Sus scrofa: one gene and its partners. The protein of the gene in region 7 interacts with the protein of the main gene of each other region in a pairwise test. Links are inferred from orthologs where the notes say so. Each region holds a gene or a part of one and is shown on either strand. Other genes may lie near its edges. The genes, in order: C6H1orf216, PKN1, FAM161A, SH2 domain-containing protein 4A-like, TRIM23, ENKD1 and CDR2.

Region 1 (4,173 bases), on a different chromosome or scaffold from region 7:
GCTGGACGGCAAACATCTGGTCTGTAAAGGGAAGCAGAAGAATGTAGTCAAAGCAGGATGGTGTGGGTTGCTGAGGTTGAGACAACCTGGCCACAGGACAAGGCTTCTCCTTCTCAGCCCCTTTCCCTCCACTCTGGTAACACCTTCCTTTGCAGTCTTCTTCCCCCCTCTCTGTCTGCCGATTTTCCATCTCCTCACAGGGTTTTCCCTTAGCCCTGGGAGGCAGCTTGTCTTCTCTTAATGCACTTCTTCCCAAATGACCTCATGCTCTGCTGTAGCTTCAAGAACAACCATGTGTTGGGGCACTCAGATCTGTCTCCAGCCCAGACCCGACAGCTACCAAATTCTGCAACCAAGCCTGGGTTCCTCAAGTTCCCCATGTCCAGACCAGCTCTCCCCGTTCCATGTCCGCAGCAAGACGGCCCCACTCTCCAGTCCGTCACTGTAGCTAAGAATCAAGAGCAGCCTGGACTCCTCACTTGCTTCATTCCCTCCTCACTAGCCATCAAATTCAGACAATTCTTTCTCTTAAAAACCTCAGAGAGACACAGAGAGGGAAAGAGAAAGAGAACGTGCGTCTGTACATACATCTCCCCTCGCTTTCACTTGGTTAGGGCTGTTTCTGGATTACTGACTGCTGTGGCCTTTTCGCTGATCTCTCTGCCTCTAGTTAAAAATTTAACTTTGGGAGTTCCCGTGTGGCACAGTGGAAACAAATCTAACTAGTAACCATGAGGTTGCAGGTTCGATCCTTGGCCTCACTCAGTGGGTTAAGGATCCAGCGTTGCCATGAGCTGTGGTGTAGGTCACAGATGCGGCTCGGATCCTGTGTGGCTGTGGCTGTGGCATAGGCTGGCAGCTGTAGCTCAGATTTGACCCCTAACCTGGAAACCTCCATATGGCAGGGTGTGGCCCTAAAAAGCAAAAAAAAAAAAAAAAAAGTAAATTTGTCATGGCTCCCCCCAACAAACTCTGGCTAAACCCCTTTATGGCCTACAAGGCCGTGCTTCATCTGGCCCCTGCTCACGGCTCCAGAATTGCTTCTTGCCACTCTGCCCCTCCCACCACCCCAAACTGCTCAGAGATCTCAGGACACACCATTATTCTCATTACACAGTTCCCTTGGCCTACACTACCCTTCCTCTCCCCTTCCCTCCAAACTCCTCCCTTTGCCACCCAGACAATTCCTTTTTGTACCTCAAAACTCAGCTCTAATAGCCCCACCTCTCTAAGCCATCTGGATATTCTCCCCTCTGCCCAAAAGACACTAACACAGCTAACTGTGCCTTCTTCTGAATCCCCACTGCCCTGGGTCTTTTTGCCATTTTCTTGGGCTGCTCCTGCGGCACATGGAGGTTCCCATGCTAGGGGTCGAATTGGAGCTGTAGCTGCAGGCCTACGCCAGAGCCACAGCAACGCGGGATCCGAGCCGTGTCTGCAACCTACACCACAGCTCACGGATCCTTAACCCACTGAGCAAGGCCAGGGATCCTAGTCGGATTCGTTAACCACTGAGCCATGACGGGAACTCCCATGTTTGTTTCTTGATGGTCAGTAAATGTCTATTCAAGTTTTTGGGGTTTTGCTTTTTTATCTGTCTTACAATAGCAGCTTCCACTTCTGGCTCTGTGACTAGAGATAGAATTCCTCTATATATCTTCCATCATATTCAGGAGCCAGTATGGAGCCTGGCACTAACCAGGTACAGTAGATCCTTGCCGAGTGAGTGTGTGAATGGGGGAGGGGGACTGCAGTGGGATATCTATGCTCAGGAAGACCCCAACAACAGTAGCAGAGGCTACAGCTGAAGCCTAGGTTCGCCCCTCTGCTCAGAGAGGAACCCCCTCCCCCACTGACAAGCCTCTCTCCCCTGACCCGGCCCTTTGAAGCCTCCATGTCTAGCACAATCCCGGTGCCCCTGCCTCTAGCTTGCTCCATCCTGAGGCCCTGGAAAGAGGGCATGCCCCATTATTCTTCCTCCCCAACAACCGACCTCTCCCAAAATTAGTGTTTACTTGACGAGAGCTTTCTATTGACCATATATTACTAGGATTCGAAAAAGTGGGGGTTCAGTAAGAGTGAGGGATAGTGTAAGTGGAGGGAGCAGGGACCCTTCCCACATTCAGTAGTGGGAAGAGGTCCTAGGAGCAACGGTTTAGGGACAGTCCCTTTGTAACCTACACACTCCATCCTGTTAAGCAAGGGGCTTGGAGATCTTCCTGGCCCAATGTTTTCTTTTTTTCTAAGCTTGGGCGGGGGCCGTGAGGGAAGCTGGGATGAGTGGAGGTGGTACTAAGAATCACGGGGTTCTCAGAGACGGTAAAATGGGAATGGAGACAGCCCAGGATCAGGTTTCTCTCCAAGCTAATTAGCAATTTGCCGAGGTGGGGCGCTCTGTAAGGGTGGGAGGAGGCAGCCCCCCTTCCTGCCTAGCCTTGAGGGGGTGGGGGAAGGAGACTACCCCGGGAGACCGAGGATACTGACGGCCCTTCCTTAATCTCCCCCAAAGAGGCAGCTGGGCCGAGGCTGCGACCCCCGCCCCCTGCGGCAGGGGTCCAAACCCTCCCGCTCCGGGCCCCCACTCACGGCCTGGAGGCGCCGGCCCGCCCAGCTAGCTCTGTTCCGAAGGCCCGCGGCGGGAACTCTTCCGTCGGGGTTGTGGCGGGGGCGGGGGGGGGTTGTCCCTTGGCCTGGGCGTCCACGCGGGCAGGGGCGTGGGTGCGGGTTTTCGTGTCGCGCTCCCACCCAGGCCGGGACTGCGGAGTCGCGCGGCGTCAGCGCGGCGGGGCGGGGCGGCCAGGCCCACGTGGGTCGGTTCGGTTTTCCGCGGAGCCGCGCGAGGGCCGGAGCGCTGGAACCGCCTCCTGAGCCTTCGGCACCTTTGACCCAGCCCTTGCAGACTCTGTTTTATTTCATAACTGCGTTCACAGGATCCCTCCGATCGGTTTGCCTCACTGCACATTCAGTGACATTTTCAGAATGAAAATCTGATCATGTCTCCACCTTCCTGCCTAAAACCATTCAATGGCTTCCGCATTGCAGGCTAAATCCTTAGGGCAGCAGCCGTGGGGCTCTGAGCATCCTGCTTCACCTCTGCGGCTTCAGCCTGTGCCCTCGCCTCTGCAGCTGGGCTTCACGCCCCTTCTGCCACACTGTTCTCTCTGCCGAAAATTCTCTCCCCCATCTCATATTTCGGATCTCTTCTCAGAAAAACCTCTAACCTCCCAGATCAGATTAGTCCCCCCTTTTTATGTTATCCTCCAGGGTGTTTTATTCCTTTTCTTAATAGCAGCTATCACCATTTAAAGTTATATGTTTCTTTTGTGCTTATCTGATTAAAGTCATTTAATGAACAGAGTAATTGCTGACTCTATTGATAAAACCGAAAAGCACTGGCTGTTAAGGAGAGGCAGCCCCAGAAAAAAATATGGGACAAATTTAGCCTTCAGGTCATAGGATCTTCCAGAAGATCCCTTCTACACCCTCACCTTTACTGGACAAACCAAGCAATTGGCTATAACTTCCCCATGCTCCCCCCTCCCCCTGCCAATTAAAAACAAGCACAACTAGGAGTTCCTGTTGTGGCTCAGCAGTTAACGAACTGACTAGTGTCCATGAGGACTATGGTTCGATCCCTGGCCTCACTCTGTGGGTTAAGGTTCTGGCAGGCCATGGTGTAGGTCACAGACGCGGCTAGGATCCAGCGTTGTTGTGGCTATGGTGTAGACCGGCGGCTACAGCTCCAGTTGGACCCCTAGCCTGGGAACCTCCATAAGCCATGGGTGCGGCCCTACAAAAGACAAACAACAACAACAACAAAAACCCTCAACTAAACTAATATGGATTCATTTTTGAGTCGTAATACATTAGAAAATACCATTGTCTTTCCCCCTCCTTTCTTTTGCTTTTTTTTTTAAGAGAATTTGAGTCTGATCTCTATGATGAGGCATCCTCTTCCATTCCCAGCTTAATTCTAACTTCCCACTCTGCAATAGAGATTAAATGGCAAATTAAATCACACCAACACATCCTGTAAACAAAATAAAGGAAGTGGAAGAGAAAAATCATTTTATGATTAGGACAACTATTTTAAGAGAGAAAAGGAAATAAAACGGAAAAGGAAGAAGTAACTCAAGCTTTGGGTACTCCCCCAGCTAAAAATATATATGCGGA
Region 2 (4,194 bases), on a different chromosome or scaffold from region 7:
CTTGCGTACAGTAGAATGCCGAGCAGCATCATTCTGCTGCTCAACCCAGTAGATGCCAGTCGCACCCCTAGTTGTGATAACCAACCAAAAATGTCTCTGAATGTTGCCAGATGTCCCCAAAAGTTGGGTGGTGGTGGTAAAATCCCTTCCTCCATTGAGAACTGAAGCTGTCACCTCTTGAGCCCCAGTTTCCTCACCTATAAAGTGGGGGAGAATTATGACAGCTGCTCAGGATAATGTGAGGGGTCGGTAGAATCCTGGGAGGGATATTTTTTGGCTAGAAGTAAATTCTCCCCGGGGTCAGCTGCCTTGGAAGTTGGTCAGGATCCAACCATGACTTTCCTCATCTCTGAAATGGGTTCTCACAGTGGCAGCAGATAATGTACATGGAGCTCTTTGCACTATGCTTGACACCTAGCCAGTGCTCAGATTCTAGGCATTCCTGTTGGAAATCCCAGTTCTGCCTCCTGCTGGCTGAGGGGCCTTGGGCAAGTTATGTCACCATTCCAGGCCTCAGTTTCCTCATCTTGAAAATGGGGCGATAGGAATTCCCACTGTGGTGCAACAGGATTGGCAGTATCTCTGCAGCTCCAGGATATAGGTTTGATCCCCAGCCTGGCACAGGATCCAGCGTTGCCACAGTTACAGCATAAGGCTCAGATCTGATCCCTGGCCTAGGAACTCCACATGCTGTGAGGTGCCCCCTCCAAAAAAAGGAAAAAAGAAGATGGGATGATAATAGCACCTGCTTCCTGGAGTTGCATTAGTCGACCTGGGTGCAATTGTAGTAACTGTCACCATTCTTAATAGTCATACTTGAGTTTTAGTGAGCCCCTGGTTTGGGGACACCCTCACCTCAATCCTCCAGTGCTGTCCCCTCACAATGTGGGCCTTGAGGAGGTGCCGCTGGGCTGGCTGGGCCTCCTAAGCCTCCAAGGTGTGGTCAGCAGCAGCGGGCGACCGAGCTGAGAAGCCGGAAGTTGGGACAGGCTGTGTCTGCAGGAAGGGGGCTGGGCTGCTCACATAAGCACTCTTGAGTGTTTGCGTATAATGTACACAGGGGCAGGCGTGGGGGTGTGCACACACTCGTCAGCCTGTGATCTGTGCACACCCCTATGGGTACACGAGGGTGCGAGCCCACCCAGGTCAGCCCCTGGAGCCTGTACACATGGGGGAGGCTGCTCTTTGTGTCCACACTAGTGGGCTTGTGAGTGTGTGTATTCTGTGTACACCTTGGGTCTCCTCTCGGTTCAGGGAGTTGGGGCCATTCCTGGGATGCCTCCAGAGAAGCAGGCTCAGCCCTGGAGTGGGGGCTGGGAGGAAGGCCCTCTAGATGCCCCAGAGCCCCAGAGCCGGCCTGTCGCGGGGGTTGCTGGGAGCTAGCAGGAAAGAGGAAGTGGCAGGCGAGAGGCCCTGGCAAGGCTGAGGTTCAGGAAGAGGGCGGGGCCCTCAGCCGGGACCCAGGATGGCGGAGGCTGGTCCCCCTTTGGACCGGGAGCTGGAGGTGGGGGCTGGGGTCCTTATGGGGTGGTTGGCAGAAGAGGACCCCAAGCAGCACGGGCCAGAGGCCCTGCCCTTGGCTCTGGGTTTTGGACTGAGGGGAGGAGATGGGGCGCTGGCCTTGGAGTTTTCTGTTTGAAAGATAAAAGTATCGGGGGGCCCTTTGGGTCTTCCAGGTTGGAGAGACAGAGGAGAAAGAGGACAGGGCTCTGCTCTTTAGGGTCCTGGTTGTAGAGAATGAAAGGAGGGGAGACAGGGCCTGTCTCTTAGTTTGGGGGTACAAGAGAAGGGAAGACGAGGCCTGTCCCTCAGCATCTAGTTTGACGGCACAGCAGTGAGGAGTGGAGGCCTGCTCTTGAGACCCCAACTTTATGGTTTTGGGGGGCACCAGAGGCCTGCCCTTGATACTTCCTTGTTTGGGGAGCAACAGAGGGAAGATGAAACCCGCTTTCAGGACCTCTTACTTTGGGGGATAGGGGAGTAGAGATGGGGCCTATCTCCAGTTTGGGGGGCAGCAAAAGGGGAAAAGGATCTGCCCTCAGGACTGTGTCACTTGGGGGGACAGCATAAGGGAGATGAGGTCTGTCCCTGGAACCCTCTAATTTGAGAGGACAAGGGAAGGGCAATAGTACCTGTCCTCAGGGAACCCCCAACATGGGGGACACAGTGGTGGAGTGATGGGGCTTGTCTTCCAGAGTTTCACTGCATAGGAACAGATGAAGGGAGACAGAACTATACCCATAGGCGAGGGGACAGGGAAGGAAGAAGGCCCTGCCCTGGGGACACCACAGTTTGGTGATGTCAGTAAGCAGGGACAGCGTCTTGTCTCACTTCCCAGTTTTGGTGGCGGTGAGGGGTGGTCAGAGAACATGGAGCTGGCCCTGTGTCAGGAGTCCCACCCTGAGAGGAGGCCAAGCCAGGTTGGCTGAGTATGGTCTGCACCCCAGAGTCCTCCTGGTCCCCACTGACCCCACTCTGTCTTCCGTCCCCCCTGCAGAGTGAGCCCCGCAGCTGGTCCCTGCTGGAGCAGCTGGGCCTGGCGGGTGCCGACCTGGCGGCCCCCGGGGTGCAGCAGCAGCTGGAGCTGGAGCGGGAACGGCTGCGGCGGGAGATCCGCAAGGAGCTGAAGCTGAAGGAGGGAGCTGAGAATCTGCGTCGGGCTACTACCGACCTGGGCCGCAGCCTGGGTCCTGTGGAGCTTGTGCTGCGTGGCTCCTCACGCAGGCTTGACCTGCTGCACCAGCAGCTGCAGGAGCTGCATGCCCATGTGGTGCTGCCTGACCCCGCAGCCACTGCCCATGGTGAGCCAGGCTTTCCCAGGGATGCGGGACTGTGGGGGTTCCAGGGCTCACCCATCACTACTGACCCCCAGGGAAACACACTCATGACAGCTCTATCTCAGAATACAACCAGAAAAGAAGCCAAAACCAACACCCAGAGAAAGGTACACACAGGTACACCCACACCTTGGCAACACCCAAAGGATTTACACCCACATGAGTATCTAGACTCACATGGTCACACACCACTTGGACAACCCCCAAAGACTTGTTCACATAACAGGAATTCCTCTGGGGCTCAGTGGGTTAAGGATCCGATGTAGTCACTGCAGTGGCTCTGGTTACTGTAGTAGCATGGGTTCGATCCCTGACCTGGAACTTCCACATACTGCGAGTGCAGCCCCCAAAACCCCCAAATAACAGAAAATGCATCATTTTGAAGGTTATAGTTCAATGATGTTGAGAAGACGCACATTATTGTGCAAAGGATCTGCACAACGTTTGCATCTCGTGACCAAAGACCCTTAAACTCATCACATCAGGAGCCAGTGACCCTCTCACACAGTCATGCCAGCACCTGTCTTAATGTATGAATATCCAGAGACTCTCATAGACTCACCACAACACCCAGAAACTTCCATACCACCACCCAGCACCTAGAGAAATACATAGTCACACGAACAACACCCAGAGACTTAGACATGTTCACACCAACCCCCAGAGAGTCACACTTACACAGATCTGCCCAGTCCTTAAGATGTTCTCCAATCCATCAACAGCCCAAAACTTACATACGCAATCAGACAAGACTCAACACCACTTACCTCAACACACCTACACTGCCTAGATGACAGCTGAAAACCAACACTGTCACATCAACACTCTGAGATAGAGTTCAGCCAGCACCCAAAACTTCATCCAGTCACAGCTGTACCCAGAGTCCCCCGCATAGTCACAATACTGTCTAGAGCCTGACACAGATCTCTGTCAGCATCCAGAGACACGCATGTCTGACTGTACCAACACCCGGACACTTGGACACAGTGGTCCCAGTGCCAGGAAATCTGAACATGCCGTTGTGCCGACAGTCGGAATCATATGCATAAAGTCACCCCAGCACCCAGAGCCTCACACAGTCACTCCAACACCTCACATCTCACAGTTACACTAGCACCTGGGGTGACACATATGCTCAGTTATGCCAACACCCTTCGGGTCACAGACATAAGCATAGCCACACCCATGGACAGCCACACAGCCATGTACATAGTTGGGGGCTTCTGTACAAAGGTATGTATAGTCACACCAACACCAGGCACTCATGCACCCCTGGACACTTGCCCATGCTCATTCATGCTGGTCCTATCCCAGCGCTGAGAGGGTTTCCTGTGACCGATGGTGTGGTTGGGTCCCC
Region 3 (3,634 bases), about 56 Mb from region 7:
GAAGTTCAGCCAGTGGTCACCAGGGAAGAAGCTGCTAGTGTCTCTTCTAAGTAAGTTTGTACATAATGTTATTTGTGGAATGTAAAATAAAATGTGTACCTAAAAGTGCAGAACAAAATTATTTCAGAATATTTTCTCACAAATATTCCCCACATCCCCACTCCCCCTTTCTTGGCTTCTCAGCAGCATATGTAGTTCCTGGGCCAGGGGACAGATCCAGGCTGCAGTTTTGACCTAAGCTGCATCTGCAGCATGGCTTGATCCTTAACCCACTGTGCCAGGATGGGTATCGAACATGTGTCCCAGCACTCCCAAAACACCACCAATGCCATTGTGTCACAATGGGAACTCCGCAAATATCCCTTTTAAAAAAAATTTTTTTAAATTCTTTTTTGGCAACACCGTGACATGTGGAAGTTCCCAGGCCAGGGATTAAACCTGTGCCACAGCAGCAACCCAAGCCACAGCTGTGATAATGCTGGATCCTTAAGCCACAGAAGCACAAGGGAACTCCATCCCTTTGTGTTTTTAGTGATATACAGAAGTAGAATTTTATTCAGGTTGTTTGCTGGCCTATCGACCTACTAGGTGGCTTCTTGCTTTGAGGGTCATTTAGTGGCCATTTGGTCCTTCCTCTCTGACCCACCACTTTTAAGACTTTATCAGAAATATTTAGTCTGGGCCATTTTCAAATGATGAGTATTAAAATTTAATTTTAAAAGCTCTTTATAGTTAACATGAGCTTATTAAAGATAGAGTATGAATTGTTCAGGACTAAGGAATAAATCTGGGAGTTCCCACCATGGCCTAGTGGTTAATGAATCTGACTAGGAACCATAGGTTGTGGGTTCAAATCCATGGCCTCAATTAGTGGGTTAAGGATCTGGCATTGCCATGAGCTGTGGTGTAGGTTGTAGATGCTGCTCGGATCCCGAGTTGCTCTGGCTGTGGTGTAGGCCAACAGCTGTAGCTCCAATTAGACCTCTAGCCCAAGAACCTCCATATGCTGCAGGTGCAGCCCTAGAAAAGACAGAGAGAGAAAAAAGAAATCTTGATTTAAGTTTTCAAAAAATAGTAATTTTTGCCGTAAACTTGCTTCTTTTGAAACTCGAGGCAAGTCCCTTAACTCATCCACTTGGTTGGTGCTAATTTGCATCTCCCATGTGCCAGACTGTGCCTGGGCACTGAGGAGTCAAAATTAAAGTGCCCTCAAGGAAGTCCAAGACTAGCTGAAATCCAGAAATACAACACAGTGTAGCAGAGTGTTAGAGACAGAGGAAGAAGCTGTTGATTATGTCAAGATGTCAGTGGAGGGATGCAGGTACTTGAAGTGTCCTGTGTTCAATCTTAAAGGGGAAATGGCTGAAGCAGATGTAGGAAGCAAGGAATGGCATTCTAGGCAACAGAGCCATGTGTGCAAAAGCACTGGTGCCACAGAAAACTGTGTGAGGAACTTCCCATGATTAGATCTGACTTAAGAGTGGCGACAGGGGAGGGAGAGGCAAGATGTGAAACTAGAAAGGTAGACAAGGGCTAGTCCTCAAGGGCTTTATAATCTAGACTTTGTAACAACAAATTGTAGAAAAGTTTCTGGAAGGGGCATAAGGTGGTCAGATGTGTGTTTTATGATAGTGACTCTGGAAGATGTGTGGAGAATTCAGTAGCGGTTGGATACAAGGCACCTCTGCCGTCTCAGCTTCCTCCCCTGTAAATGACAAAGTCCAATTAGATTGTTTATAAGGGAGTTCCCGTCGTGGCACAGTGGTTAATGAATCCGACTAGGAACCATGAGGTTGCGGGTTCGGTCCCTGCCCTTGCTCAGTGGGTTAACGATCCGGCGTTGCCGTGAGCTGTGGTGTAGGTTGCAGACGAGGCTCGGATCCCGCGTTGCTATGGCTCTGGCGTAGGCCAGTGGCTACAGCTCCGATTCGACCCCTAGCCTGGGAACCTCCATATGCCACGAGAGCGGCCCAAAGAAATAGCAAAAAAAGCCAAAAAAAAAAGATTGTTTATAAGCATCTCGCAGTCTTTCTTCTAAAAAAAAAGCGATAATTTTCACAAGCCCTAACCAGCTCCTATTTTCTAACTTTTTTTTTTTTTTGGCCGCACCCTTGGCATGTGTAAGTCCCCAGGTCAGGGGTCAAACCCACGCCACAGCAGTGACCCAGGCCACTGCAGTGACAGCAGCTGATCCTTATCTTGCTGCACCACAAGAGAACTCCATCTAACTGATTTTATCTTGATCTTAGAAATTATGTAAATCTATTCTTTTTTTTTTTTAGAGCTGAACCTGCGGTATATGGAAATTTTCAGGGTAGTGGTCAAATTGGAGCTACAGCTGCGAACTACACCACAGCTCCTGGCAACACTGGATCCTTAACCCACGGAGCTAGACCAGGGGTTGAACCTGTGTCCTCATGGATGATAGATTAGTTTCTGCTGAGCTTCAGTGGAAACTCCCAGAAATTATGTAATTCTTTTTTTTTTTTTTTGTCTTTTTGCCTTTTCTAGGGCTGCTCCCACGGCACATGGAGGTTCCCAGGCTAGGGGTCTAATTGGAGCTGAGGCCGCCAGCCTACTCCACAGCCACAGCAACTCGGGATCCAAGCCTCGTTTTCAAACTACACCATAGCTCACAGCAACGCCAGATCCATAACCCACTGAGCAAGGCCAGGGATTGAACCTGCCATCTCATGGTTCCTAGTCGGATTCGCTAACCACTGAGCCATGACGGGAACTCTGGAACTATGTAATTCTTTTTTTTTTTTTTGGTCTTTTTGTCTTTTTGTTGTTGTTGTTGTTGTTGTTGTTGTTGTTGTTGCTATTTCTTGGGCCGCTCCCGCGGCATATGGAGGTTCCCAGGCTAGGGGTCGAATCGGAGCTGTAGCCACCGGCCTACGCCAGAGCCACAGCAACGCGGGATCCGAGCCGAGTCTGCAACCTACACCACAGGTCACGGCAACGCCGGATCGTTAACCCACTGAGCAAGAGCAGGGACCGAACCCGCAACCTCATGGTTCCTAGTCGGATTCGTTAACCACTGCGCCACGACGGGAACTCCGGAACTATGTAATTCTTAATTTTTATATTTAGTCACATGCAACTGAAAGAGTAACCTAATTACTCCTTTCACTTACTTAGGTCTGTATCAGAAAAGAGCTATTGTCCTGTCTCGTTAATGACATCGGTTTCAGAGCCTGATTTAGGTGAGTCTTCCTCCTTGGTTGTATATTCCTCTGAAGATGAGTCACCCAACTTAGAAAAGGAGTATTCTGAGAAAAGCAGAATGATGACCTATGCCAAGGAGCTCATCAACAACATGTGGACCAACTTCTCTGTTGAAGATTATATTCAGTTTGAAGATGCTGACTTGCCAGCACTTGAAAAAATAAAAAAGAAACCAAAAGAATGGGTTCCAAAGATCACAATACCTGAGCCTTTTCAAATGATGATTAGAGAGCAGAAGAAAAAGGAAGAGAACATGAAATCTAAGTCAGATGTTGAAATGGTACATAAACTGCTTAAAAAACAAGAAGAAGAATTAGAGTGTAAGAAAAAATTCCGAGCCAATCCAGTTCCTGCATTCGTTTTTCTTCCCCTTTATCATGATGTAGTCAAGCAAAATGAGGAACGG
Region 4 (4,248 bases), on a different chromosome or scaffold from region 7:
CCTACTCTCTGTAGGAGTGTTGCTGCCATGTGAAGGCGACAGTCCTCCACAACGCATTGCAGATGCCAGAGTCGGAAATGTTTCCACTGAGAGCATGGCCCAAAGGGCAGAAAATAATTCAGGGCCTCGTAATTACATAACAGAGCCCCTTGATGTTTTTTGGAGCAATTTTACCATGTGGAGCATTTGAACTGTAACACATCCTGCATACCTATTGTGTGTCTGGGTGTTGGGTAGGATTCAAACCTTCCTGGGGTAGATTAGTCCTTACTTGATGTTTATGATTTCAAAGAGGTATAAAACATAGAGCTGCTGTAGCAGGCAGTGCTGCAGGGAGGATGGCAATGCAGGCCCTGGCCATCTGTTCCCTGCAGGCCCCCAGTGTCACCACTGGCCTGGCTCCTGGCAAGTGTTCATTAAATGGTTCTCAGATGTGTTAAATGCTCACTTTACAGTTCTTCCACTGCCCATGCAAGAAGTGTTAGGCTTCCTTCAGAGCTGGCCACAGCAGCGAGCCAGGGCCAAATGACACTCCAGCCAGAAAGACCCTAAGGGGCCATTCATTTAATAAGCAGTGGAACCAAACTGAACCAGGAATTCTCCCCAGATAGGATCTCCAGAATAGCCTTTAAATAGCTAGGCAGGAGGACTGACCTCTACCCCAAGGCTCTAACTTCTGTAGTACGGGAAGCCTAGAAATGGGAAGGTTTCATTCTGAAGGAGCAAGTCAGGCAGGCTGCGTGGAAGAGGACCACATCGCAGTCTATAACCTCTCTCCCTGACACCTGCACCATGGGGTCACCAAAGCAGGCTGTTTGCCGCACACATTCTGAACGTTTCCTCTAGAAGGAACATGCCCCCCCAATGTTTCCACGCTGCTTCTACTGAACTTTCCTCCCAGATTTCCTTTTCCCTCCTCGGCCAGCTCCTCCTCCTTCAGCAACCACCCCAACCTGACTTGGCCGCTGCTCTCAGCATTCCTTTTCTTCTGCCCTTCTCTTTGGATTTCTTTCATTTTCTCTCCCCGTCCCCGCTGTCTCCAGTCTCCATCTTTCCAGCTGTTCTCCTCTTTGGTCCTGTCCTCCTACAAAGCCACACCCCTCCGGACAAGTGCCCAAGAGTTTGGTAATTTTCTCAAAGTCAACAACAACAACAACAACAACAACAAAAAGTGAGCTCCAGAGGCGCCAGAACAGAAGTTCAGCCCGCGGAGCGAAGAAAGGCCCGCCCGCCGCCGGCTCAGGCCCCACCTGCCAGGAAGCCTGGTGCCTGGCCGGGATCTCACCACCGTCCGCAGGACGCGCGCGGCGGGACCAGCCCCGGTGCCGCAGGTTCGAACGGACGGGCGGGCTGGGGACGCGCTTGGCTCATGTCGCGGCCGCGTGTCTGTGCAGCCGACTGCTCCTTCTCCTCCCTCGGCACCCGATCAGGCGGCCCAGCCCCGCGCAGGCAGGTGCGGGCCGGGAGGGGCCAGATGCGGCCAGTGAGTGCGGGCGAGCGGGCGGGCGGCGGGGGTGGATGTCCCCGTGGGTTCTGGTCCCGCTGGCGCGCGGCGCGTTCCTCCGCCGGGGGGTCAGGTGCTGGCGGGGCGGGCGGGCGAGTGTCCGGTGTCGGTGTCCGGTGTCGCTGCACCGGCGGGAGAGCAGAGGCGCTGAGGGCCGGCCGGCGGTCGTGGTGAGGGGTACGCGGGCGGCGGGGCGCGCGGGAAGCTCCTGCTGCAGGCGGCCGCGTCCCCCGAGGGGCGCGAGCGGGGCTGCCAGGGAGGAAGCGTGCAGAAGGCCGGCAGTGGCCCGTGGGGGTCGCGGGCGGAGGGAAAGGCCGGGTCTGAGGGCGCTTTCTGCCTTTGAGGGTGCGGGGTGGGGCCCAGGGTGGGCGCGCAGGGCCCAGGGTGGGCGCGCCGCCCCCCGGAAGGCGGACCAGACTGTGGCCGCAGGTGGCCTGGCCGTGACCTTTCCCTGCTCTCTCCCGCCCTCTGGTTCACGCGGGCTCCCCAGAGGTGGCATGAGGGGCAGCGAAGAGGGCAAAACTGTGCAGGTTTGCTCAGAATTGTCTTACCCTCCCAAGAGTCACTGGAAGAGCAAGTGAACTCCCCTCCTCTCTTTCTAAACTTGGAGTCTGCTCACCTCCTAAAAGGCTTTGTTTGATTGCCTGTTTAATAGAAATGACTTGGGATACAATCATTATTTTAAGTGAATAAGTGAGTGAAGGCCTATCCCAGGTACAGATTTGGCATGTGAGAGGAATTTCTGGAGAAATTCACGTACAGCGATTTTTAAATACCTGAAGAATGGTATGTATTTATCAAATTTACCAAACTGCTGTCACCCATGGTAATTTGTTTTATCCTCAAAAATAGCCCTTTTGCAGATAGATTAACAAGGTAAAGTTGAGTAAGAGCATGGAAAGTCTGGAAACAGGGCTTTTTAAAAAGAATTAGAATTCAAACTATGTTTTTAACATTAAAGTACACTGTCCATATTACAATATTTTTATGATTTAGGCGTATCTCTGGTAAAGTAAGATCTCAGAGTCATTCAAAATACAATTCTTGGAGTTCCTGTTGTGGCTCAGTGGTTAAGAACCTGACATAGTGTCCACAGGAGACGGGTTGGATCCCTGGCCTTGCTCAGTGGTTAAGTGAGGATCCTGCATTGCTGCTGCAGCAGCATGGATTGCAGATGCAGCTCTGATTAGACCCCTAGCCTGGCAACTTCCAAATGCCGCCGGTGCAGCTATAAAAAATACCAAAAAATATAATTACTGTTTATAAAACAGTGGCTCTGGGAAATATGGGTGCCATGACCCTTTGAATTTTTGGAAAAAAAATAGCAGATGTGGACTCTTTGCTTGTTGTCATTTCTGTGTTTTAAGAATAGTGCTGCTCAGGAGGAAAAGAGTTAGCTGAGTTTTCCTTTCTACTGGATCTTAAATAACTGGGTAGCACTCAATGAATTGGATACGGAAGTTACCTGTGTTTGATCGTATCAAGCACTGATTGTCAGGGAAACCAGGGGAAACCCCTGGTTGGTTAATTTCCTTGTTTCTGTTTCCGCTGACCCAGCCCCACTTGCGTCTGGAACTCCGCACTATAATGTAGTGTATTCCTAAGATGACAAAGATTCAAGTTCAGGCTCATTTCGTGGCAAGGAGACTGAGTCCGAGGAAGGGAAGTGACAACGCAAACATCCACAGCTCAGGAGAGGCAGAGCTGTGAGCCGAGAGCTTCCTGTGCTGTGTTTGAGGAAGGAGTTCCGTTCACGCTGGTGGGTGTTCACAGCCTCCGAGTGGCATGCATATTATTCAGCCTCACCCCACAGAAAGGTTGTAAACTATGTTCCCAAGTTTCCCCTGAGGACAGGGGGAGGCCAGTGTCTTTCCTTCAAGATCCACTTTAACGTCAAAAATCTATTTGTTGCAAAAGGCAAAACGGCACAAAATCGCAGCTGTGAGGTCTTGACTGTGTCCCTTCCTGCCATCCTTCTGCCCCCTGCCCCCAGTGCTGCTCTTGGGGGTGGTAGGAGGGGGACTGAGGAGGCTCAATACTCAGTGACTGACTGGGCATCAGTATCTGCGCCTGCGCCAACATGACGTCACTTCCCGCCATCTTTCCGGGGTGAGGGCTTTTCAATGCCCAGCGTCCCCAAAGCCCACCTGCAGTTACAGAGATGAGGCTTCTGCCTCCCAAGAAGGACCCTGCCTCATGTACCTTCGGTTCACCGTTTCCGCTGCCTCTAGAATTTGCTGGTTTTCATTCTGAAACTTCACCCGTGGGGCCTCATCCTGATGATGTTCTGATTCTGGGCTCACGGAGAAAACCTCCTGCAGTGACGTGGAGCCAAACCGCCCAGTGCCGCCCCTTTCCATCTTCTGTGAAATGGGCAGAGGGAGGGACTGAACACCAAGGTTATGGTGAAGGTTCATAAGTTACTGCATGTGCAGGGCTCAAGGTGGTGGCTGCCCAGCAGGAGTCAGCGCTTGTCACCAGTGCTGGAGGGAGGGGGCGCTGTGAAGGTGGCACGTGCCAAGTTGTAGTTTTTAGGCTCTCCCCACACCGTCGGTGTTGCTGTCACCCAATTCAAAATGGGGAACAGAGTAGAAGTTTCCAGCTTCCCTGAGCAGCTCCTTCTCCACGTGTTTTATTCCTATGAAAGTCAGGCCTGGTAGAGGCGTGTGCCAGCATGAGGACGTTTACCGGAATGTCAAGGACTCATTGACTTTGGTTTCTTACCACTTGAACTGGGAGGACCA
Region 5 (3,634 bases), on a different chromosome or scaffold from region 7:
AAGTTCTTTATCATTTCCAAGGTAAATTGTCATCCTGGCACATTTCAGATTATTTTTATTCGAATTAATGATTTTTTTTTTTTTAGAATTAGGTAATTGCGGAGAAATTTTTTAAGAACCCAAGTTCAGTAGAGTTATTTGTTGTTGCATATTCAGATATAATGTATCATGTAATAATTTTCAAAAGCAAAAGAAATTGAATTTACAACATTATCTTGGTCCCTGACACTTATCCTTTAAAGGAAATTTCGCTGTGATATAATTTTGGTACATCTGTCAGAAGAAATGATAAAAGGTGATTTAAGACTTTACAGCTAGACAGTTTTATTTTCATGAAAGAATAAAGTAATTTAACAAGATTAGGGATTTTTTTAGCCTAAAATATTTATGCTTTTAAAGTCATTTAAAGAGCTCATTTCCTTTCCAAATACTAGGTGCTGGAATGTGGAGTTTGTGAAGATGTCTTTTCTTTGCAAGGAGACAAAGTGCCTCGCCTTCTGCTTTGTGGCCATACAGTCTGTCATGACTGTCTCACTCGGCTGCCTCTTCATGGAAGAGCAATCCGTTGCCCTTTTGATCGACAAGTAACAGACCTTGGTAGGAAATACATATAAAATTGTTCATGTAACACAAATGTCATAGAAAACAATTTCTTTATAATTGACTTTTAAAGTTGTAAAATTCCAGGGTGATTGCAGTTTCTTTTTTCTTTTTTCCTTTTTATGGCCATACCTGTGGCGTATGGAAGTTCCCAGGCTAGGGGTTGAATTGGAGCTGCAGCTGCTAGCCTATGCTGCAGGTGCTGGCCTATGCCACAGCTGCAGCAATGCCAGATCTGAGCTGCCACATCCGAGCCTGCCACATCTTCTACTTGCACCACTGCTTGTGGTAACTCTGGATACTTAACCAACTGAGTGAGGCCAGGGATTGAATTCACATCCTCATGGATATTGTGTTGGATTCTTAAGCTGCTGAGCTGTAACAGAAGCTCTGATTTCAGTTTCTTTTAAAGCCAATAATCTTGACACTATAAACCAGTGCACACTTATGTACTAGTTTTATTTCATCTTCTGAGATTTTTATATTTAGCACTTAAAGTTGAATAGTTTTAAGATACCTGAGAAGAACCTGCTAGCCTTATTTATTTACCTGTAAAACAGTATTTACTTTAGAAATGAGTAAACCAATAGTGGAAATACAGATAAGTCATTTGAGTCTCAGCATGTTGCTATTTACCAATATCACACAGAAGTGGGGCCAGCAAGGCTGAGGGGGAAATGCTACATAGGCTGCATAAAGTACTTGGTTGGGAAAGGAGGTCACAGAAATCAGAAAGATGAATACAGATAATTAGCCTAGTTTGAAAAAAAAAAACTTTTGTGCACTGCAGCAAGAAATGGTTTCTTTCTTCCTTTCTTTTTCCATCCATCCCCTTTTATTTCTCTTCCCTTTTTTTCCCTCTCTTCCTCCCTTAGAAAAGAGGAACAAAGAAGAAGGGAGTCTGCAGCCAATGACCGCATCATCCTTTTACTTATTTTTTAAGTGAATATATGCTAAGGGCAGCTTTTTGTCAGATGGTATATGTTGTATAGAAGCTCATCATAACAGACGGATGTTCCTTCTAATTGCTGAAGCATCTGGCTTTTATTTGTAGGCTCAGGAAGAGTTTGTGTATGTGTTTATGCATGTGCACGTGCATATGCCCGTATTGTGTAGACACACGTACATGCACATATGCATGCTCGCCTGGCCTTTTATGGTCAGTTCTGAGGAAAATAAATATCAATCCTTATTCAAATGTGCCTAGAGTCTTAACTACTTAAAAGGGACTGTTGTCATGCTTTGATATGAAGCTCTGTGTGTTTTCATGAGAAGGAGTTTATATATTCATTGACTGCTATTAGGGCTCTAGGTTAGATGAGGAGTGTGGAAAATACTATCTTTAACTGTTCTAGTTCTGGTATACTTCAAGATGGATTTATTTTAGGTTAAGTGTATCTTTCATACTGTAATTTTTTAGACATGAATCAGAGCTTATTTGTGGTCATAAAATCAGTTTAATTGGATATGAACAGGATTTTTTTTTTAGAAAAGAAATAGGATAGGAGTTCCTGTTGTGGCTCAGTGGAAGCGATTCTGAGTAACAACCATGAGGATGTAGGTTTGATCCCTGGCCTTGCTCAGTGGGCTGAGGATCTGGTGTTGCTGTGAGCTGTGGTGTAGTTCGCAAATGTGGCTCAGATCTGGTGTTGCTATATTGCTCCAATTGGACCCCTAGCCTGGGAACCTTCATATGCCATGGGTGTGGCCCTAAAAAGACAAACAAACAAACAAAAAAGACAAAAAAAAAAAAAGAAATACAACAAAAACCCATCAGAGCATCAAAGTGTATTGCATCCTGCACACTGTGAGGGTGAATGTTAATGTGTAAATCTTTTGTATCAGACATCTGTGTACACACACACACACACACACACACACACACACACACACACACATATAACTGTGTCTTATCCTAGGTTGTGGTGTAAAATGTATTTCTTACCATTGGTTGTTATAAAAAATATTTAAAGTACATGATTTAGTATATGTATTAAAAGTCAGTGGCAAATAGGATTCATAGGAGTTCCTCTTCTTGCTCAGTGGTTTACATGAAGATGTGAGTTTGATCCTGGGGCTCGCTCAGTGGGCTAAGGATCTGGCATTGTCTTGACCTGTGTTGGGTCTCCTGTTGCTCTGGCTGTGGTGCAGGCTGGCAGCTGCGGCTCCAATTTGACCCCTAGTCTGAGAACTCCCATGTGTTGCAGGTGCAGCCCTAAAAAAAAAGAAAAAAAGAACAAAAAAGGATTTATAAAGTTAAATTATAGAATAATAATTAGGAGTTCCCTGGTAGCTCAGCAGATTTATTTAGTTTTTATTTTTTGTTTTATTGGTGTACCCGTGGCACATAGAAATTCCTGGGCCAGGGTCTGAACCTGCACACTAAGAAACCTGGTTTGTTACAGTGACAATGCTGGATACTTAACCTGCTGAGCCACAAAGGATGGGAATTTTTTTTTTCTTTTGTCCTTTTAGGGCCCCACCCGCAGCATATGGAGGTTCCCAGGCTAGGGATCTAATTGGAGCTGTTGCTGCTGGCCTATGCCAGAGCCACAGCAACACCAGATCTGAGCCGTGTCTTCGACCTACAAGACAGCTCATGGCAATGCCGGATCCTTAACCCACTAAGCAAGGCCAGGGATCGAACCCGCAACCTCACGGTTCCTAGTCAGATTTGTTTCTACTGTGCCACAACAGGAACTCCGTGTTTGGTATTATAAAGAGAATATTAAAGACAGCTGTTCTAGCGTGAACAGAAAATGGAGAAATTTTTAATTTTTATTTATTTATTTTGGACTTTTTGCCTTTTCTGGGGCTGCTCCCATGGCACATGGAGGTTCCCAGGCTAGGGGTCTAAATCAGAGCTGTTGCTGGAGCTATTGCTGCCGGCCTATGCCAGAGCCACAGCAACATGGGATCCGAGCCATGTCTGCAACCTACACAACAGCTCACGGCAACGCCAGATCCTTAACTCACTGAGCAAGGCCAGGGATCGAACCTGCAATCTCATAGTTCCTAGTCGGATTCGTTAACC
Region 6 (3,793 bases), on a different chromosome or scaffold from region 7:
GTCTGATGAGGCCTCCTTCTGCTGGGCCTGGTGAGCCTGATAGTGACGATGACAGCAGTGATCTGGTCACTGAGAACCGCCAGCCTCCTTGTTCCAATGGGCTGTCTCAGGGGCCTCCATGCTGGGACCTGCGCCCAAGCCGCCTACTTCCTGGTGCCCGCAGCTCTCTGCCCTCCCTGGACGATCAGGAGCAGGCCAGCTCTGGCTGGGGGAGTAGCATGAGAGGAGATGGCAATGGCTTCAGCCTCTGACAGGCAAGGATGCAGGCCCTTGCCCCTCCAGGCTGCTGGGACATGGCAGAGACTTCCCCAGTGGGTGTTTTTAGCTTGCTCATGGGGCTGAATCAGTCTGGGGAACATTAAAGGTTTTCTACAAATGCAGTCATGGTCCTTGTGTGTCCCAGCCCTAGCCTCCTCCCTGATCCCACAAACCTTGCCCTCTGCCCTGGACATGAGGCAGGAGTGGAGGAGTGATAAAAAACAGTAGAGAGGTCTTCCTATAGTCAAGCAGCAGGAGGACCACCAGGCTTGGCATTTCTAGGGTAAGAAAAGATCTTATGGAAACAAACCCCGCTGTGTACAAAAGGTTTAATTTTGACAAAGTGATTAAGAGGCTGAGATGGCCCTTCCACAGCCACCAGTGGCTGTGAAGAGTGCTCTGGGGATACTGCCCACCCCACTGCTCCTGTCTTGAGGGCCACTCTATTATTGGGCCCAATCCGGCCCTTTGCAATCATGTAGCAATCCTCCCCGAAACCCGCCTACAACCAGGAAAGGACTCAGGCATCCATCTTCACAAAGACCTTGGGGCGGGAAAAGATCTTGATGGCCTCCTCTACCTGCACCAGCTTCCGGTCCAGTTCAGCACGGTGGCTCTGGGCCCTCAGGGAATCTGCCCCAGCAGGCAACAGCACCAGCTCACGCAGCAGCTGGCTCTGGCCTACAGGGGCCCCAGGAACAGTAAGTGCTGGGCAGGGGTGCACTGTCCCCAGTGGGCTCCCCATCCAGCCCCCTTTGCCCATGTACTTACTCTGGAGCAGGTTGCTCAGTGTCTCCAGCCGCTGGTTCTCAGGCATGCGAGTGTGGCCAGGGGGCATGGCCGGGTCTGGCTGGCTGTGCTGACGGGCCTCAGCCTCCCGTCGCCACAGATCCCTGCGCTCCAACAAACTGCGATGCACAGAATCAGAATGGATCATCCCAGGGCAGGTGTTGGCTCCCACCCTCCCTAAGTGCCCCTGACCCTGGGTATTGGGCAGTAGAACCTACTAATGGGGCACGTGACCCTTCTGTGTGGCATTATAGTGCTCCTGGGCTTGCCGTTGCTGCTCCAGCACCTGTGACAGGACTTGGAGCGAGCGAGAATGCCGCCGGGGGGCCCTCTTGGCAGTGCGGGCATTGTGGGTAATGAAGTCCACACCTGGGCCTGGCCCCTGGAGGACATGGCAGGCGTGATGAGGCAGACAGCACTGTGTTGTGCCCTTGAACCTCCCCAGGCTCCCTGCCCCACCTCCCAGGCCCCAAACATCCTCTCACCTTAGCATTGGGACCTGGCGGGGTTAGCTGGGGACTGGGGACACGGGGTGGTGGGAGCCCAGGGCCACAGCGAGAGTGTGCCCGCAGGAAGTGGGCAGGCTCTGTCCCGGAAGCAGGGCCGGGCTCCTGGAGGCCAAGTCACAGCAGAGGGATCAGTCAGGCTGAGGTCAGGGTCTCAAGTCGTAAGACCAAGACTCTGTCCCTCCAGGCTCTTAGGATCTTTCACTATCACCAGCCCTAGAGGTCTGGCCTCCCTCCTCTTGAAGGAGCACTTCTCTCCATCAGCATTTAAACATGTGTGTTTTTCACATCTTTAAGAAAACAAATAATCTTCCTTTTACCTTAGTCCTGACTTCAGGTACTATTCTCTTGCCTTCCTAGCCAAGCTTTCTGGCTCTGTCCCCATTAAGGTCTCCGATGCCCGACCTCCAAGCCCTCAAATCTAAGGCCACTTCCCTGGTCTCATCGTCCTCAGCCTGATCCTCAATAACTCCTGGGTCTCACTCCTGAGATCCAGACCTGATTCTCCATCTGCTTCCTGGACACATTCCCACTCCCTGGGAGTCCCACAAATGCTTCAGCTTCAACACATCCACATATGACCTTAATGTCTTTTCTCTCAATCCTGCTTCTCCTTCTCAGGCCCCTGGATAAAGAAATGGTGGCATTATCTATCCAAGACACAATCCCACTACCATATATGCCCCTGCCCATACCCTTCCCACTGTCCCTAAAAATAACAGTTATAAGTGGATTATGTGGTTCCCCCGCCTTTTTTTTCTTTTTACAGCTGCACCTGTGGCATATGGAGGTTCCCAGGCTAGGCGTCGATTTGGAGCTGCAGCTGCAGGCCTATACCACAGCCATGGCAACGCCAGATCCAAGCTGCATCTGTGACCTACACAGTAGCTTGTGGCAATGCTGGATCCCTAACCCCCTGAGCAAGGCCAGGGATCAAACCTGCATCGTGGATACGGATACTATGTCGGATTCTTTTTTTTTTTTTTTTTTTGGTCTTTTTTAGGGCCGCACCCGCGGCACATGGAGATTCCCAGGCTAGGGGTCAAATCGGAGCTGTAGCCACCGGCCTACACCACAGCACAGCAACAAGGGATCTGAGCTGCATCTACGACCTACACCACAGCTCACGGCAATGCCGCATCCTTAACCCACTGATCAAGGCCAGAGATAGAACCCGCAACCTCATGGTTCCTAGTCGGATTCGTTAACCACTGCACCATGACGGGAACTCCTATGTCGGATTCTTAACCCAATGAGCCACAATGGGAACTCCTATGTGGCCCTTTATGATGTGGGTCCAGCTGACTTCTTGGCCTAACCTCATGTTCTTCCCTCACAGTGCACTGAACACAGCATCCCCACTGGCCACACTCCCTCTGGTCTTAGGACTTCTATCCATGAGGCTCCATCTCTATAGAATGTTCTCTTCCATTCTCCCCTTGTCTAATTCCTACTTGCTCCTCAGAAGAATCATAACTTTTTCAGAAGTCATGACTTCTGAAAAAAACAAAACAAAACAAAAAAACCCAGCCCCGCCCTGCAGCAAAACCAGCTGTCTCCTAGTCCCCTGTCACCTTAGTCCCTTGGGATTTTCCTCCCTCCTCAGAACTCAGGTCAGAGTATAACTGCCTGTTGGCCAATAAGATGGGCAATACTTCTAGCTCCTTGGGGTAGGTACCTGCAGCCGGGCCTTGACACGGGACTCCACTTTGTCATACTTGGGTGAGCGCCACAGAGCCTTCAGGGGCCTAGGCTGGCCCTGCTCCCGGGTGCGCTCCTGCTCACGGAAGCGCCTCTGGATCTCCCTGATCCGCCTCAGGTTCTCCTGCTCGTGGTCTTTAGGGTCCTTCCCTGGAGAAAAGATGGTGCCAGGCTCTGCCCTACCTACAGCCAATGCAATCCACTCACACCAGTTGACTCACAGGTCCACACACTGCCTCCCACAGAAAGACCTTCCTGATGTCTCCATTTAAGTTAGATTCTCTATACATACTCCACCTCATCTCCCTGTTCCCTTCCTCACATGGTAATTATCTTCGTCCATCCCTGACCATTTTCTACATTTTCATTGTCAAGTATACCATTAATCATCTTGCACATCATATGCATCTCCTCACTTGTTTATTGTCTCCCACCTTGATTCAATGATGCTCTTCTTTAACCTTGTTTTCTTAGAAACTTTAAGGTCTGGTGCACAGTAGACGCTCAACAAAAATATTTCATTTAGGCCTGAATTCATG
Region 7 (3,634 bases):
TGACTAGGAACCATGAGGTTTCGGGTTCGATCCCTGGCCTTGCTCCGTGGGTTGAGGATCCAGCGTTGGCGTGAACTATGATGTAAGCCAGCAGCTACAGCTCTGATTTGACCCCTAGCCTGGGAACCTCCATGTGCTGCGGGTGTGGCCCTAAAAAGACGAAAGACAAAAATTAAAAACAAACATACAAATGATAGAGTTCTTGGGTATTAGTAATTCTGTGAAAACTGATTTTTTAAAAACTTGGGAGTATTTAGTTCAGTGCTTTTTTTTTTTTGTCTTTTTGGGGCCACTCCCGTGGCATATGGAGGTTCCCAGGCTAGGGGTCGAATCGGAGCTGTAGCCGCTGGCCTACACCAGAGCCACAGCAACGCGGGATCCCAGCTGCGTCTGCAACCTACACCACAGCTCACGGCAACGCCGGATCCTTAACCCACTGAGCGAGGCCAGGGACCGAACCCGCAACCTCATGGTCCCTAGTCGGATTCATTAACCACTGCGCCACAACAGGATCTCCTTAGTTCAGTGCTTTTAACTTGTTAAATTTTAATTTACAAGAAGGTGCAGTGCTTCTGATAGACTACAGATTTGGAGGTTGTATTTCACATGTCAGTGAAGAAAAAAATGGAAATTGCAGTAAAACAAAAATGCAGGCCCATAGAAGAGGTTCTTTTTTGGCCTGCAGAGTTGTGTTTACAACTTAAGAGTTATGAGATTGAGTCTTTATTTAATAGATATTTCTGGAGCCCCTGTCACAAGGCAGGTATGTGGAGTGGTGAGCAAGACAGACAGTTCAGTCCCGTGGAGAAGCAGAGAAGCAGATAATCACACACATAAAGTACAGTTCCAAGTTGTCTAGGACCCTGAACCAGAGAGAGGCCAGCTCGTGCATTCGGTGGTCCGCAGCCTTATTCATCAGATTACCCTGTGCAGTTTTTCTTTTTTTTTTTAATTTTTAAATTATAGTTGATTTACAGTGTTCTGTCAATTTCTACTATACAGCAGAGTGACTCAGTTATAATAGACATTCTTTTTCTCACATTATCCTCCATCATGTTCCATCACAAGGGACTAGATACAGTTCCTCTGTGCTTTACAGCAGGATCTCATGGCTTATCCACTCCAAATGCAATAGTTTGCTTCTACCAACCCCAAACTCTCAGTCCATCCCACTCCCTCCCTCTCCCCCTTGGCAACCACAAGTCTGTTCTCCATGTCCATGAGTTTGTTTCTTATCGGTAGATAGGTTCATTTGTGCCACATATTAGATTCCAGGTATGTGCTGTCATACAGTATTTGTCTTTTGCTTTCTGACTGACTTCACCTAGTATGAGAATCTCTAGTTCCATCCATGTTGCTGCAAATGGCATGGTTTTGTTCTTTTTTACAGCTGAGTAGTATTCCATTGTGTATATGTACCACACCTTCTTAATCCATTCATCTGTCGATGGACATTTAGGTTGTTTCCATGTCCTGGCTATTGTGAATAGTGCTGCAGTGAACCTGCGGGTGCATATGTCTTTTTGAGTGAAAGCTTTGTCTGGATATATGCCCAGGAGTGGGATTGCTGGGTCATATGCTAGTGTTACATTTAGTTTTCTGAGGAACCTCCATGCTGTTCTCCGTAGTGGTTGTACCAATTTACGTTCCCATTAACAGTGTAGGAGGGTTCCCTTTTCTTCACACCCTCTCCGGCATTTGTTATTTGTAGACTTATTGATTTGATGATAGCCACTCTGACTGATGTGAATGGCACCCACTGTAGTTTTGATTTGCATTTCTCTAATAATTAGTGATGTTTTAGTGAGCTTTTTTCACGTGCCTGTGGGCCATCTGTATATGTTCTTTGGAGAAATGTCTATTCAGGTCTTCTGCCCATTTTTCAATTGGGTTGTTTGGTTTTTTGCTGTTGTATGAGTTGTTTGTATATTTTGGAAGTGAAGCCCTTGTCAGTTGCATCATTTGCAACTATTTTCTCCCATTCTGTAGTTTGTCTTTTTTTTTTTTTTTTTTTTTTTTTTTTTTATGGTTTCCTTTGCTGTGCAAAAGCTTGTAAGTTTGATTAGGTCCCATGAGTTTTTCAAACTGCAAGATCATTTTGACTCCCTCTGGCCTAAATCAGAATCTCTAAGTGGGAATAAAAGGCTGCCCCAGGTGATTCTGACATCTGTTCCTGGTTAAAAATCACTGCAGCAGTGGTTCTCAAACTTAGCTGCATATTATGAATCACATGAAGAGCTTAAGAAAGACCCACGTCTTGGAGTTCCTGTCGTGGCTCAGTGGTTAACGAGTTCGACTAGGAACCATGAGGTTGCAGGTTCTATCCTTGGCCTTGCTCAGTGGGTTAAGGATCTGGCATTGCCATGAGCTGTGGTGTAGGTTGCAGACCCGGCTCGCTCGGATCCTGCGTTGCTGTGGCTGTGGTGTAGGCCGGTGGCTACAGCTCCAGTTACACCCCTAGCCTGGGAAGCTCCATATGCCTCGGGAGCAGCCCAAGAAATGGCAAAAAAAAAAAAAAAAGAGAGAGAGACCCACATCTAGGCAGACCAGCTAGGTCGGAATCTATGGGATGGGAGCCAGGCATCAGTAGTTTTCTCTTGACTGCCCAGGTGATTCTAGGCTGCGGCCAAGGCCGAGCACCACTGGGCCGTGCTAATTTCCTTGACCAGTATCAGTGATCCTGCTATTCTCTGGGAATGGATGTTCTGTAGTGTTTTTTTGTTGTTGTTTTTTGGGCTGCATCCGAGGCGCATGGAAGTTCCTAAGCTAGGGCTCATATTGGAGCTGCAGCTGTTGGCCTGTGCCACAGCAACAGCAACAAGTATCCAAGCTGCTTCTGCAGCCTATACCACAGCTCACGGCAACGCCAGATCCTTAACCCACTGAGCAGGCCAGGACTCAAACCTGCATCCTCACGGATACTAGCTGGATTCGTCACCTGCTGAGTTACAATGGGAACTCCTGTAGTATTTTTTGTTTGTTTGTTTGTCTTGTTTTTTGCCTTTTCTAGGGCCGCTCCTGCGGCATATGGAGATTCCCAGGCTAGGGCTCTAATCGGAGCTGCAGCCACCGGCCTATGCCAGAGCCACAGCAACGCAGGATCCTTAACCCACTGAGCAAGGCCAGGGATCGAACCTGCAACCTCATGGTTCCTAGTCAGGTTCGTTAACCACTGCGCCACGACGGGAATTCCTCCTGTAGTATTTTTAATGTTTAAAAAAATATCGGTCACAAAAGCTATATTTTCTCACGTGTTTATTTGCCAGCCTCACACATTCCTTGTAACCATTGCTCTAGCATGGAGTAGGCAAAAAAAAATCAGTTGCATCACAGCTCCTCAAAAATAGATAGTTGGAAAAAATCATCAGCCTCCCTCTTTGCATTCCTGCGTTAACAGAGTCTTTAAACATCTTCCCCAGGCACTTCGTGTACGATCACGTGTTTGCCGAGCAGATCACTTCCTTACAAAGTCGGCAAAGCCCCGATGAAGAAGAAAACGAGCATTTGAAGAAAACGGTGACAATGCTGCAGGCCCAGCTGAGCCTGGAGCGGCAGAAGCGAGTGACCATGGAGGAGGAGTTCGGGCTGGTGCTGAAGGAGAACCGCGACCTGGAGCGGCAGCTGGGGGCCACGG

Evidence for each region.
Region 1: the proteins of CDR2 (region 7) and C6H1orf216 interact in binary tests that used the Homo sapiens proteins (3 or more experiments, as listed by UniProt). The two-hybrid records come from large-scale screens. The link is inferred for Sus scrofa from reciprocal best matches to the Homo sapiens genes CDR2 and C1orf216.
Region 2: the proteins of CDR2 (region 7) and PKN1 interact in binary tests that used the Homo sapiens proteins (3 or more experiments, as listed by UniProt). The link is inferred for Sus scrofa from reciprocal best matches to the Homo sapiens genes CDR2 and PKN1.
Region 3: the proteins of CDR2 (region 7) and FAM161A interact in binary tests that used the Homo sapiens proteins (3 or more experiments, as listed by UniProt). The two-hybrid records come from large-scale screens. The link is inferred for Sus scrofa from reciprocal best matches to the Homo sapiens genes CDR2 and FAM161A.
Region 4: the proteins of CDR2 (region 7) and SH2 domain-containing protein 4A-like interact in binary tests that used the Homo sapiens proteins (3 or more experiments, as listed by UniProt). The two-hybrid records come from large-scale screens. The link is inferred for Sus scrofa from reciprocal best matches to the Homo sapiens genes CDR2 and SH2D4A.
Region 5: the proteins of CDR2 (region 7) and TRIM23 interact in binary tests that used the Homo sapiens proteins (3 or more experiments, as listed by UniProt). The two-hybrid records come from large-scale screens. The link is inferred for Sus scrofa from reciprocal best matches to the Homo sapiens genes CDR2 and TRIM23.
Region 6: the proteins of CDR2 (region 7) and ENKD1 interact in binary tests that used the Homo sapiens proteins (3 or more experiments, as listed by UniProt). The two-hybrid records come from large-scale screens. The link is inferred for Sus scrofa from reciprocal best matches to the Homo sapiens genes CDR2 and ENKD1.

What each region holds. Positions count from the first base shown.
Region 1 is NC_010448.4:91,887,704-91,891,876, forward strand, and holds the start of C6H1orf216 (UPF0500 protein C1orf216 homolog), read right to left. Parts: upstream 2,801-4,173; 5' UTR 2,587-2,800; intron 22-2,586; 5' UTR 17-21; coding exon 1-16.
Region 2 is NC_010444.4:64,818,381-64,822,574, reverse strand, and holds the start of PKN1 (serine/threonine-protein kinase N1), read left to right. Parts: upstream 1-1,391; 5' UTR 1,392-1,465; coding exon 1,466-1,504; intron 1,505-2,497; coding exon 2,498-2,801; intron 2,802-4,194. UniProt on the Homo sapiens protein: PKC-related serine/threonine-protein kinase involved in various processes such as regulation of the intermediate filaments of the actin cytoskeleton, cell migration, tumor cell invasion and transcription regulation.
Region 3 is NC_010445.4:79,962,597-79,966,230, forward strand, and holds part of FAM161A (protein FAM161A), read left to right. Parts: coding exon 1-50; intron 51-1,623; exon of another isoform or gene 1,624-1,705; intron 1,706-3,141; coding exon 3,142-3,634. UniProt on the Homo sapiens protein: Involved in ciliogenesis.
Region 4 is NW_018084867.1:67,232-71,479, reverse strand, and holds the start of SH2 domain-containing protein 4A-like, read left to right. Parts: upstream 1-1,330; 5' UTR 1,331-1,453; intron 1,454-1,626; exon of another isoform or gene 1,627-1,681; intron 1,682-4,248. UniProt on the Homo sapiens protein: Inhibits estrogen-induced cell proliferation by competing with PLCG for binding to ESR1, blocking the effect of estrogen on PLCG and repressing estrogen-induced proliferation. May play a role in T-cell development and function.
Region 5 is NC_010458.4:44,136,263-44,139,896, reverse strand, and holds part of TRIM23 (E3 ubiquitin-protein ligase TRIM23), read left to right. Parts: intron 1-434; coding exon 435-597; intron 598-3,634.
Region 6 is NC_010448.4:28,282,537-28,286,329, forward strand, and holds the end of ENKD1 (enkurin domain-containing protein 1), read right to left. Parts: intron 3,405-3,793; coding exon 3,232-3,404; intron 1,659-3,231; coding exon 1,533-1,658; intron 1,430-1,532; coding exon 1,266-1,429; intron 1,167-1,265; coding exon 1,030-1,166; intron 940-1,029; coding exon 779-939; 3' UTR 572-778; downstream 1-571. Other genes in the region: PARD6A (partitioning defective 6 homolog alpha), read left to right, coding at 1-251. UniProt on the Homo sapiens protein: Microtubule-binding protein which regulates microtubule organization and stability. Promotes the stability of astral microtubules and facilitates the proper orientation of the mitotic spindle.
Region 7 is NC_010445.4:23,827,756-23,831,389, forward strand, and holds part of CDR2 (cerebellar degeneration-related protein 2), read left to right. Parts: intron 1-3,419; coding exon 3,420-3,634.